Arabidopsis thaliana: one gene and its partner. The protein of the gene in region 1 interacts with the protein of each later gene in a pairwise test. Each region holds a gene or a part of one and is shown in the gene's direction. Other genes may lie near its edges.

What was found. The genes of interacting proteins can lie anywhere in the genome.
Region 2: the proteins of IRT1 (region 1) and AT4G30370 interact in a two-hybrid assay, tested with the Arabidopsis thaliana proteins (one study listed by BioGRID).

The regions. Positions count from the first base shown.
Region 1 is NC_003075.7:10,704,983-10,710,649, forward strand, and holds IRT1 (iron-regulated transporter 1), read left to right. Parts: upstream 1-2,361; 5' UTR 2,362-2,504; coding exon 2,505-3,092; coding exon of another isoform or gene 3,093-3,140; exon of another isoform or gene 3,141-3,177; intron 3,178-3,187; coding exon 3,188-3,337; intron 3,338-3,435; coding exon 3,436-3,741; 3' UTR 3,742-4,033; downstream 4,034-5,667. UniProt on the Arabidopsis thaliana protein: High-affinity iron transporter that plays a key role in the uptake of iron from the rhizosphere across the plasma membrane in the root epidermal layer. Acts as the principal regulator of iron homeostasis in planta.
Region 2 is NC_003075.7:14,857,281-14,862,184, reverse strand, and holds AT4G30370 (RING/U-box superfamily protein), read left to right. Parts: upstream 1-2,681; 5' UTR 2,682-2,911; coding exon 2,912-3,442; 3' UTR 3,443-3,741; downstream 3,742-4,904. Other genes in the region: AT4G30380 (Barwin-related endoglucanase), read right to left, coding at 1,096-1,102, 1,195-1,468, 1,600-1,699; CNGC17 (cyclic nucleotide-gated channel 17), read left to right, coding at 4,406-4,434, 4,646-4,904.

The DNA.
Region 1 (5,667 bases):
GTTTTAATAAAGAAAAATTTCTTACTTTGGTTAGATTTAAATTACACAATATTTCATGACAACTATTTAACCATAAAAACTCGATAATGTACTATATCTAACACATAATTTGTAGGTGTGAATGGCTTAAGCTAAAAAGCTTATAAATTCTATGTATTTCATTCCATTTCATGGTTTTTTGGTTGAAAACTTTAAGTACAATAACAGACTTACTAACTAATTTGTAAATTTCCACACATGTTTTGATTCCATACACCTGGAATCATATCAAATACTTGTAAATTCTGAACCTATTGAAACAAGTTGAACCATTTCTTTCTAAAGATTAAATGCATTATCTTGAAGTATAAGTTCTTAGAACATACTATTAAATAACTTTGAATAGTCTTCAATTTTACTAATGCCTTAATCAAGTTTTGAAATTATCTTTTTCAAATCATACACACTTCATCCTGACAATTGTAAATGTTTATAGTTTTTAGAATAATTTTTACTATTTTTTTTAATTTGTGTCAATATCTGATTTGGTTTGATTCTAGACTTCGTTTGTTTTCTCAAATTGTGCAAGTAAAAAACACGAATATATCTATTTTTTATTTTATGTTCAGAAAAAAAAAAATATATATATATATATATATTCGTGTTTTTTACTTGCGCAATTTGAGAAAACAAACGAAGTCTACAATTAAGCGAAATCACACATTGACACAAATTAAAAAATATTTCTTTTCTCGACCGAAAAAAGAAAATTATTTCACCAATATGGAAAATCTCCCCAAGTTCATTCTATTTTCTGTATCAAAGTTAACGAATAGACATATAAGCATTTTGTCACGTCGGTGGAGTATGAGTTTGGCACGTTTTGTTTCGTGCTCGTCCAACCATATGAAAACGTGGGAGGTAAACCACTCAACTAATAATATTATACCTTTAAAAAAACTATATTATAAATCCAGTTTGATGCTTATTTTATTAATCATTCTTCAAAGAAATAAAACTTAAATAGTGAAAATTATAACCGAAGTTGACTAGTTAGGAGGCATGCCATGGAATATTGGATACATACTCGGCATGGACAGTATTGAATATACAGGATAATGTAGATAACTATATTTTCTATAATTTATTTTGTGTCAACTATTTTTTCTATGATTCTGATGATTAATTGCATGACAATCAATCAAATTAATTATGCCTTCTTCTATATAACCATGCAAAACCAAAAAAAAAAAGATTATTTCGAAACGACATGAGAATCAAAAGAACTCATAAATCCTAATAGACATGAAATTATGTATACAGTTATAACATTGAAATATCTTAATACCTTACCTAAAAGATAACTAGATTAATAACCATAAAACCAATAATCATTAAGTCAATAACCCCATAATCTTATAAATGAAGTCAGTGACTATATGTTCATGTAAAAATGCGTAAGTTCATAGCTAGATGTCCCTTTTTTAGGAGCACATGGATTGACACATTAAACATTCATACCCGATTTCATGGAATTCTATTTGTCATTATCCTTTCCCAAAAACTTAGTTGTTTCTTAGTTATTAAACCTTGAAAAAAAATCAATTCAAAAATGAAAAATGACTTATATGTATGTCATTTTTGAAAACTAGACATCAAGCTATGAAAAGAGGAATCTATTTACCGAATAAAGGAGGAGGAATCTACATTCATATGTAGTGTTTTTGGTGACTGGATTGCAACCATACACTGAGCACAAGCTGTCACGTGTGATGTTGTGCTCGTAGCATAAACTATAAAGTATAAACCTAATTAAGCTTAAAGTTAAAAATAGTACAAGATTAAAAAGTAAACGTTTGTGAGAGTTGACTAACAGAACTATAGAAGACGCATGGGGTTGACTTCAAGCGGTCTGCAAACGGCATGAACAATGCATTCAAACGATAATATAAACCTTAATTCCAATATAGCCTTTTTCAAATTTAAAAACTCGAATGTTTACGAAACTATAACTTGATAAAACTGATTGAAATAAAATGTACTTACATTTTTTTAATAAAATATACTTAAATTTTTTAAATAAAATATACTTTAAAATATACTTAATTTTTTAAAATCATACTATGGATTTTAAACAAAATAAATTGTCACTGAGTCATATTTCTTTGGATAAAAGAACTTTACATAAGTGATTGGTACAATATAATAATATGCAAATTTAAGACATTTTATTAAGTTTATATTATCGTTTAAATGCATTTTCTATCAACTTAATAAAATCTAGCTAGGTACTTTCATAATTCTATCATTATTCCTTTTGAACGATTAATTACTTTATTTTCTCGTTTCACACTGGAAGCAAACGAGTAATCAAATAAAATTTCGTCATCATCGACAATAAATGGCATGAAAACAACCAGCACACATTACTATATAAACCGATTCATCTAGTAAGTCCAAAGTCACACAAACATTAAACAATCTAAACACACAACAATCCAAAAGAAAAAAGAAAAAAAAAAAAAATGGCTTCAAATTCAGCACTTCTCATGAAAACAATCTTCCTCGTACTCATTTTTGTCTCTTTTGCAATCTCTCCAGCAACTTCAACTGCGCCGGAAGAATGTGGAAGCGAGTCAGCGAACCCGTGCGTCAACAAAGCTAAAGCTTTGCCTCTCAAAGTCATAGCAATCTTCGTAATCCTCATTGCAAGCATGATTGGTGTTGGAGCTCCTCTCTTTAGCCGTAACGTTTCGTTCCTCCAACCAGACGGAAACATCTTCACTATCATTAAGTGTTTCGCCTCCGGGATCATCCTTGGAACCGGTTTTATGCACGTTTTACCTGATTCTTTCGAAATGTTGTCATCTATATGTCTTGAAGAGAACCCGTGGCATAAATTTCCTTTCTCCGGATTTCTCGCTATGTTATCGGGTCTAATCACTCTAGCCATTGACTCCATGGCCACGAGCCTATACACCAGCAAGAACGCAGTTGGTATCATGCCCCATGGTCATGGTCATGGTCACGGCCCCGCAAATGATGTTACCTTACCAATAAAAGAAGATGATTCGTCAAATGCACAGCTCTTGCGATACCGAGTCATTGCCATGGTTCGTACGCACATATATACATACCGAATATCATTGTATTTTAAATGACATATTACCGAATACATAGGTATATCTAACTTTCTACGGATATATAGGTCTTGGAACTTGGGATCATAGTTCACTCGGTGGTCATTGGATTATCTCTAGGAGCAACTAGTGACACTTGCACCATTAAAGGACTTATAGCAGCTCTTTGCTTCCATCAAATGTTCGAAGGCATGGGTCTTGGCGGTTGTATCCTCCAGGTAAATATACTTTAGATAAAAGAAAAAAAATTATCTTTAGCCAAATGTTGAAATTGTATATACAAATATGAAACATCTAATGTTTAAGATAATTTCAGGCTGAGTATACAAATATGAAGAAATTTGTTATGGCGTTCTTTTTCGCGGTAACAACACCATTCGGAATAGCGTTAGGGATCGCTCTATCAACTGTTTACCAAGATAATAGCCCAAAAGCTTTGATCACGGTTGGACTTCTAAATGCATGCTCCGCTGGATTGCTCATTTACATGGCACTCGTGGATCTTCTAGCTGCGGAGTTCATGGGACCTAAGCTTCAAGGTAGCATCAAAATGCAGTTCAAGTGTTTAATCGCGGCTCTTCTCGGGTGCGGTGGAATGTCGATTATCGCCAAATGGGCTTAACTAATACTCCAGATATTGCGGAATTGAAATCATGTGGATTTCATTATCGAACTAAAACCGTTTTAGGTTTACGTCTCGATTCTCTATCGGTTTTTTATCTTCTCTTACAAAAGATTTGCGTGGATCTATCACATTTTAAGGAACATGTCTTTTGGTAGATATGTAAATGTGATAGGCCCCACGATTCATAGTTTTCTTTTGTATCTTCCTTTATTTTGTCAAGGCAGTATAGTTCATATCGTGTAATGTTTTTGCATCTCATATAAATAAATAAAACTTTTGCTGCTTTTTCAAGATAAGTAAATTAAAGAAAAATATATATTATTTTACTTTGTAATCTATATTCGACAAATCTAAATACCAATAATTGGAACTTTAATCACAATCACGTAGTCTATAAATATACTTACTAGCTTGGCAATATTGTCAATCACTTGCATATCGTCCCATACTGCTTTAAATCTCAAATTTATTTTTGAGTATTACTAGGCATTGATATCCTTGTAGTTGATTTAAGTATATAATTTAAACAAGTTCTCTAACCGGGTTCTGTTGATAAAATCAATATGTCTACCAATTGAACCAATACCAATAAATTTTAGTCTTCGCTTGAAACTAAAGTCAAAGTTCGAACAAACAAAATCAGATACATAGTCGAAGTTTATAAACTTTATATGCAGATTCAGTCGATTTCCAAAAGCGCTGGTTTTACTTGGAAAATGTATATCTATCGACCCATTTATGAAGGCTCACTTGATTTGGGTACGGGCATTACTTTCAGCCCAATTATGTGTCCTTCTAACAAAAAACTTATCTCCACTCACCTAACTCTATCTTATTAGTGAGAAGGCATCCTACATTGAGATAACAGCTCGGATTGGTGAAGAGAAGAACCAAACTCGAGCTGTGATCTCAATGTAGGATGCCTTCTCACTAATATATCTCTCTATTTAATCTATGTATCTGTTTTACATTGGTCACTAAACTATGTAACGTACCATTTTCATATAAATATGGTTCTCGTGAACCATATTGTCGCTTCTCCAATTATAACATTTCCATGCTCTGGATTGAATCACATAGGACATGAACATAAGCCTCTTGTACATTGATGTTCCTCTTTCTTAATTTGTCATCCTCTTCATGACTATGAGTATGATCATGACCATTGAAGGAAGTGAAGAAAATACATCATTCATCAGTGAAGCAGTATGTTTATAGCTTAGTTATAAGCATTTTAGAGTCTCAAAACTTCACAATATTGTGCTTTAACTTTAACATTTTCCAAATTTATGCTGTAATATATGTATCGTTTTTGGGTGACCTACATCTCGAAAAATATTGAAGTTTAACTGTAGATTCACTTTAATTTTACTTGGTTATCTCATTCTTCTTCTAATGGAGTTACTTAGCCCCCATTCCCCAACATGGTCACCTCATTTAGGTTAATTTATAAAGTTTGAGGTGTCACAATATGAATGGATTTACATAATTCAGTATTCTTTTAATTAAGATGCTGGTGGGATAAAGAGGAACAATATTATCAAGGCTGATTTGTTCATACTTCATACTCATGCAGTCATATAGCTAGGATATTTCCATGGCTCTTCTCACTGTTTTCTTTTGTAGGATATTTTCTCTGACTTATGTTTTCGTCAAAATGTAGGTTTACGGTAGAAAAGTCCTATCAAAATTTCCGTTCTAAGAGTTGTAAGATTTCATCATTTGCATGATTTTTTTTGTAGTGTGCTAGTTCATAAACAAAACCAAAATCCAACAAATTATAGCCACTCTTTATGTACCGTTACATTTTCATCCAAATCCAACTAAATGTTTTGATAAACTCAAACTAAAATATCTATTATTATTGTTATTGACTTGTTTCTAATCTAAATTTGATTTGGGAAAATAAATAAGATACTGGAT
Region 2 (4,904 bases), 4.2 Mb from region 1:
CTTGGTCCTATGTGTTTAAAGGTCAGTTCCTGATTGCAGTATTCGGATCATTTAGGTAGAAAAAACAATGTGAACAACTGCAGAGATACATTACCAGATTGAAGTCTGTATTTTTCTTCTCTTTGTGTGTAAATATGAAACGAAGGCGGTCAAATTATATATAAGCTTCTTCTTTCTTCCGTTCTTATGAAGTTTTATGCAATCATAGAAGCTTCTTGTTTGCTGCAGAGTTCTGTTATAAGTTTCTACTTTTGATAGCGTGGTTATCTGAATTCCACCAAGTCCATTTTTCCTCTTACTATATAAATATCGAGTAATTTGGCTCGAGTTAGTTCGGTTTCTTTCAGGGTTGGTTTTTCTTGGCAGCCGATGAATTCTTGGATTCATCGAAGTAGCCATCAATTAGTAGGGGTTCAGGTTTTTGTTGAATTGTGCTTAGTAGTTTGGGATATAGTAGTGACCATATTGTCATTTTTAGTTGTTACAAGGCTCTGAAGTCTGAACCATATTATATATAGGAAGAATTCATCAAGGTGCGATGATATTTCTATCATTTGTTGAGATCAAACCTTCGATTTATACATTTTGGAATAACCAGAGTCGCAGTCTCACGTTTTCATACCTAATGATTTAGAGTGTTCACTCAATCTCCAAGTTAGAGCAGGCTAATTTCGGCAAAACTCTTACCTGCAAACCATTATTTGGTATATGTGAGTGTACATAAATTGTCACCGGAATTAAACCATCAAATAACTTGTCACAAGCACTTTTTCTGCATATCCGAATTCGATGATGTGAAGAAAATGGTTGTACCAATTTTCAATTGCACATATGTCTGTCATTTTCAGATTATGTTACATGTAAAAACCAAGTATGGTTATTATATTTTGTTTTCAAAATGAGAATCAAAATAATAGAAATCAGTAAGTATTTCTTATCATGGTAGTTTACTTTGATTGGTTATCTTATTCTGTGTAAGCTCTCGACGATTTTATTCATATTTTGAAATACTATACAAAAGTCATGATGTGTGTACATTTTCCATTAGGACTTTCTAGACTTGAGCATTATTTTCCTTGATAGCTTCATCGACGTTTAGGCCCTGAAATCCAAATAAACAAACTCATAATTAAAATCCTGCTTTTCTAAAGTAACAAAGAATATTAAGTGATAAAGATTGGGAGAAATAATTACGGAAAATAATCAATGTTAATAATCCCAGCGACAGGATTAGCGATCTGAGCAAAAGCTTCTCGAGAAAGATCGAGCGTAGAAGCACAGCCACTGGGACAATGGTCAACGATCTTGACCTTCACGGATTTCCCCGTGCAAGGGTGAGGCACGGCGTTACGAGGTCCGCTGCATTTCACGGTGAACATTTTGCCACAAACTCGACCATTGTCCCATAATGTATCACTCGCTGCAGCGATCATCACTCCTTCTTGAGTACCTCTGTAACATGCTGATGCTATCAAACATGAAATAAAAGAAAATGATTTTATAACATTTCGCTGTAGGTTGATATGAAAATGTATAAGATAAGTTTGTTGTTTGTATTTGTTTTATAATTTTGGTAGTAAAACACACAAAAATTCTTACGAGTGTAACTTGTGTAAAAAGTTGCAATCCCGGGAGTTGCATATGAGAAAGAGAAGAGAAAAACAAGAACGGTAGAAAAAAACACAATACTTTTACTCATGATTCGTATTTATTTGTAAGAGTGTTTATCTTTGAAATGTGACATATCTATTTATATATCTGCTATATATTATATGACTAACTCTAAATATGCATGTATTGTAATTGTTTGCCATTGAAATATCTTTGACTGTTCCCATTTTTTAACATGTGTATAGTTGTAAATTTGTTATATTTAATTTCTTCTTATCTGTGTTGACTAAAGGTTTAGAAAGATTGTTATCCTCATTTGATAGCAAATTTACAGCCAAAGACTCCAGAAAACGTTTACTAACTACGCTGATCAAATTTGCCACGTAAATTTATATGAACAATCTCATAAAAACAATTCATCAAAAGGAAAAAAACTCTCCTTTTATAGGTCCTAAATGTAGTGAAATCAATATTTATGGACTAGTACATATGGAACAGTTATGAGGCGAGCGTTAATGGGCCGAACGAGACGATAAGAGACATTATTCTAAACCAAGCTCAACCACGAAGATAACCGGATCATAACCGCAAAATGAACCGGAATAAAACGTGAGAAACAACGAGATAATATTAAAAATGATGCAAAGAATTTCTGAATGTAAAGGTAGGTATGGTGACATAAGGAATGGAGTTACCGAGGAAGCTGCCCTTGTCGGATTGTCCTTATCACTTCCCACTCGGCATTACCAGATAGGAAGCTCAGAGGACAGAGATAATAATTGGAACCCAAAACTGAACCCTATTTTATATAATCTCATCACCAATACTTTATCCTTAAATGAAGTCTGGTTTCGCCCTTTGTTTTCTCCTCTAGTTTTCTTGTAACGCCAAACTACATTCTGTATGATCAAAATTTAGTAACATAATTTATCAGAACCCCATTGTTTTAAAACGTGTCTGTGTATTTGTGTTTATATACGCTTAATCTTCTTCTTTCTAGTTAAATTTAATCAATTTAATGAAAAATTTGGTATATAAAAAAAAAGACTTTGCTCACGAGTTCCTCTCATAAGGGCCAAAACTAGTTAAAAAGTTATCGTCAAAAACTGATATAAAAAAGATGTCCGAATATTCCCGCATATAAATATCTATCAGACAAACTCTTTTGTACAATATACTTTGAATCCGATAAATTTTCGATCTTCAAAATCCATAAAAATCTCTCCTTTATTTAGCCCTAAAACAGAGTATTAGAGTTTGATTCGTAAAAGAGAATATTTTTAATCTCCGCCGCAAGTCGATGTCGATAACGATTCCCTACGATGGCTCAATCTCCCGCGAGCCATCACCGTCTCCACCGCCGCCAAAAGCGAACACGAAGAATCTACCGACGAAGATTCTCTCTAACTTCCTCATAGGTCTAATCATGATCCCTGTAGCTATAACCGCTTTTATCTTTATCCTCACGTCTCTCGGTTTCACCTTCTTCTTCGCTTTCTACTGGTTTCTTCAACGAAACTATCGCCACCGTCTCCGCCGCCATCGCCGTCACGAATACTCAGATGGGTTATCTCCAAGATGCGTGAAGAGGCTTCCTCAATTCAAGTATTGTGAGCCTAGTTCAGAGTACGGAGGCGATGATTGTGTTGTTTGTATCGATGGATTTAGACAAGGACAGTGGTGTCGGAAGCTGCCTCGATGTGGACATGTGTTTCACCGAAAGTGTGTGGACTTGTGGTTGATTAAAGTCTCGACTTGTCCGATTTGTAGGGATAGGGTTTATAGATTTGAAGAAGGAAGAAGATGGAGACCACAAGGTGAAATTTTTTGATCGGTGGTTTTATAATTAGATTTGAAAGTGTGTTTAGTTTGTTATCATATTTAGCAGCAATTTTGGTTTTCATCAATAGTCATGTACAGTGTCTTTTTTTTTTTTTTACACGGCTTCACAATTGAAAGCTTGTTTCTTCACCGTTTGATGAATTTGATCCAATAAGAGAATGATGGGTTTCTGTAGAATTTAACTTAGTTTGAGGTTTGATTATCATGCCAATTATTAAATTCAATCTAGTCAATTACTGATAGAAATGTTGTCCATTTGTCACTTTAAACATGTTGCTTATGTTACCTTAATGATTTCTCATAATTTCACTTGAGATTCAGTGGTTAATCATCAATGTTTCTGTTTCAATTTGTCCATGATGAAGTATAAGTTCTAAGTAAAGCTTGGTTCATGTGATTTTAATTTACCTACTTCACCTCCAAAGTTATGTCAACTATGTTTTCAAGTGTGTGATTCAAAAGTTTATATTGAACATAAAAATAAAGGAGGCTAAAGAATCGTTTTCTGATTGGAATGTGAGATTGTGACTCACACGGAGAAAGTGATTGTGATTGGATCTGACTATAAGACTAAAGAAGTGTTTTTGTGAAGTAACAAGTAACATTGTCTAATTAGTGTTTTGTATTGTAAACTAATAATGACTTTGATTAACGAAATAATGTCACTTTAGTCAAATGTGTTGACTTTCTTGTCTTATACCGATGGCTCAAGTATTCCCAAGAAAAAAAAACAAATATCCCTCCGATTTCTGACTCGTCCCGTGACTCAGTGATTCTCCTCTTCCAATCCTCTCCGGAAGAACTAAACAAAAACACGATCTTTCTCAGATTTAGAGAGAGTAAGAGTGAGAGAGTGTCAGAGACACGAATCAAAGAAATGATTTTTAAAAGCTTCTGTTAATTCTAATTTGCATAGATTTGTTTACTCGAGCTTGAGCTTGAGCTTCTTCTAATGGAGTTAAGGAAGGACAAGCTTCTTATGTAAGTTTTCTTTCTCTCATCCGTCGGTTAGACTTACGTTCCTGAAAGTCTTCAACTTTGATTGCCCAGAAATTAAAAATTCTAGACTTTGCTTTAGATTTATCTCTTCTTTAGATGTTACAAGCTCAAGCTCCGATTTTGGGTACTGGGTTTAACTTAAATCTCTAGTTAGGTTTCAGATTACAGATTTGAGTTGTGTATTGCTTTGTAGGTTTTACTCAGAGGGGAAAGAAAGCAAAGAAGCTAAATGGGCAGTGAATGATCCAATGAGCAAATCTTATAAGCTCTCTTTACCTTCAGCACTAAGACCTGATAATCTCTTACCTGGAAATAGACTTAGATACACTGATGCTTCTAAGTCCAAATCTTCTAAAGTCTCATGGTACAAGACTATTCTTGATCCAGGAAGTGAGATTGTCTTGAAATGGAATTGGGTCTTCATTGTCTCATGTATGGTTGCTCTCTTCATC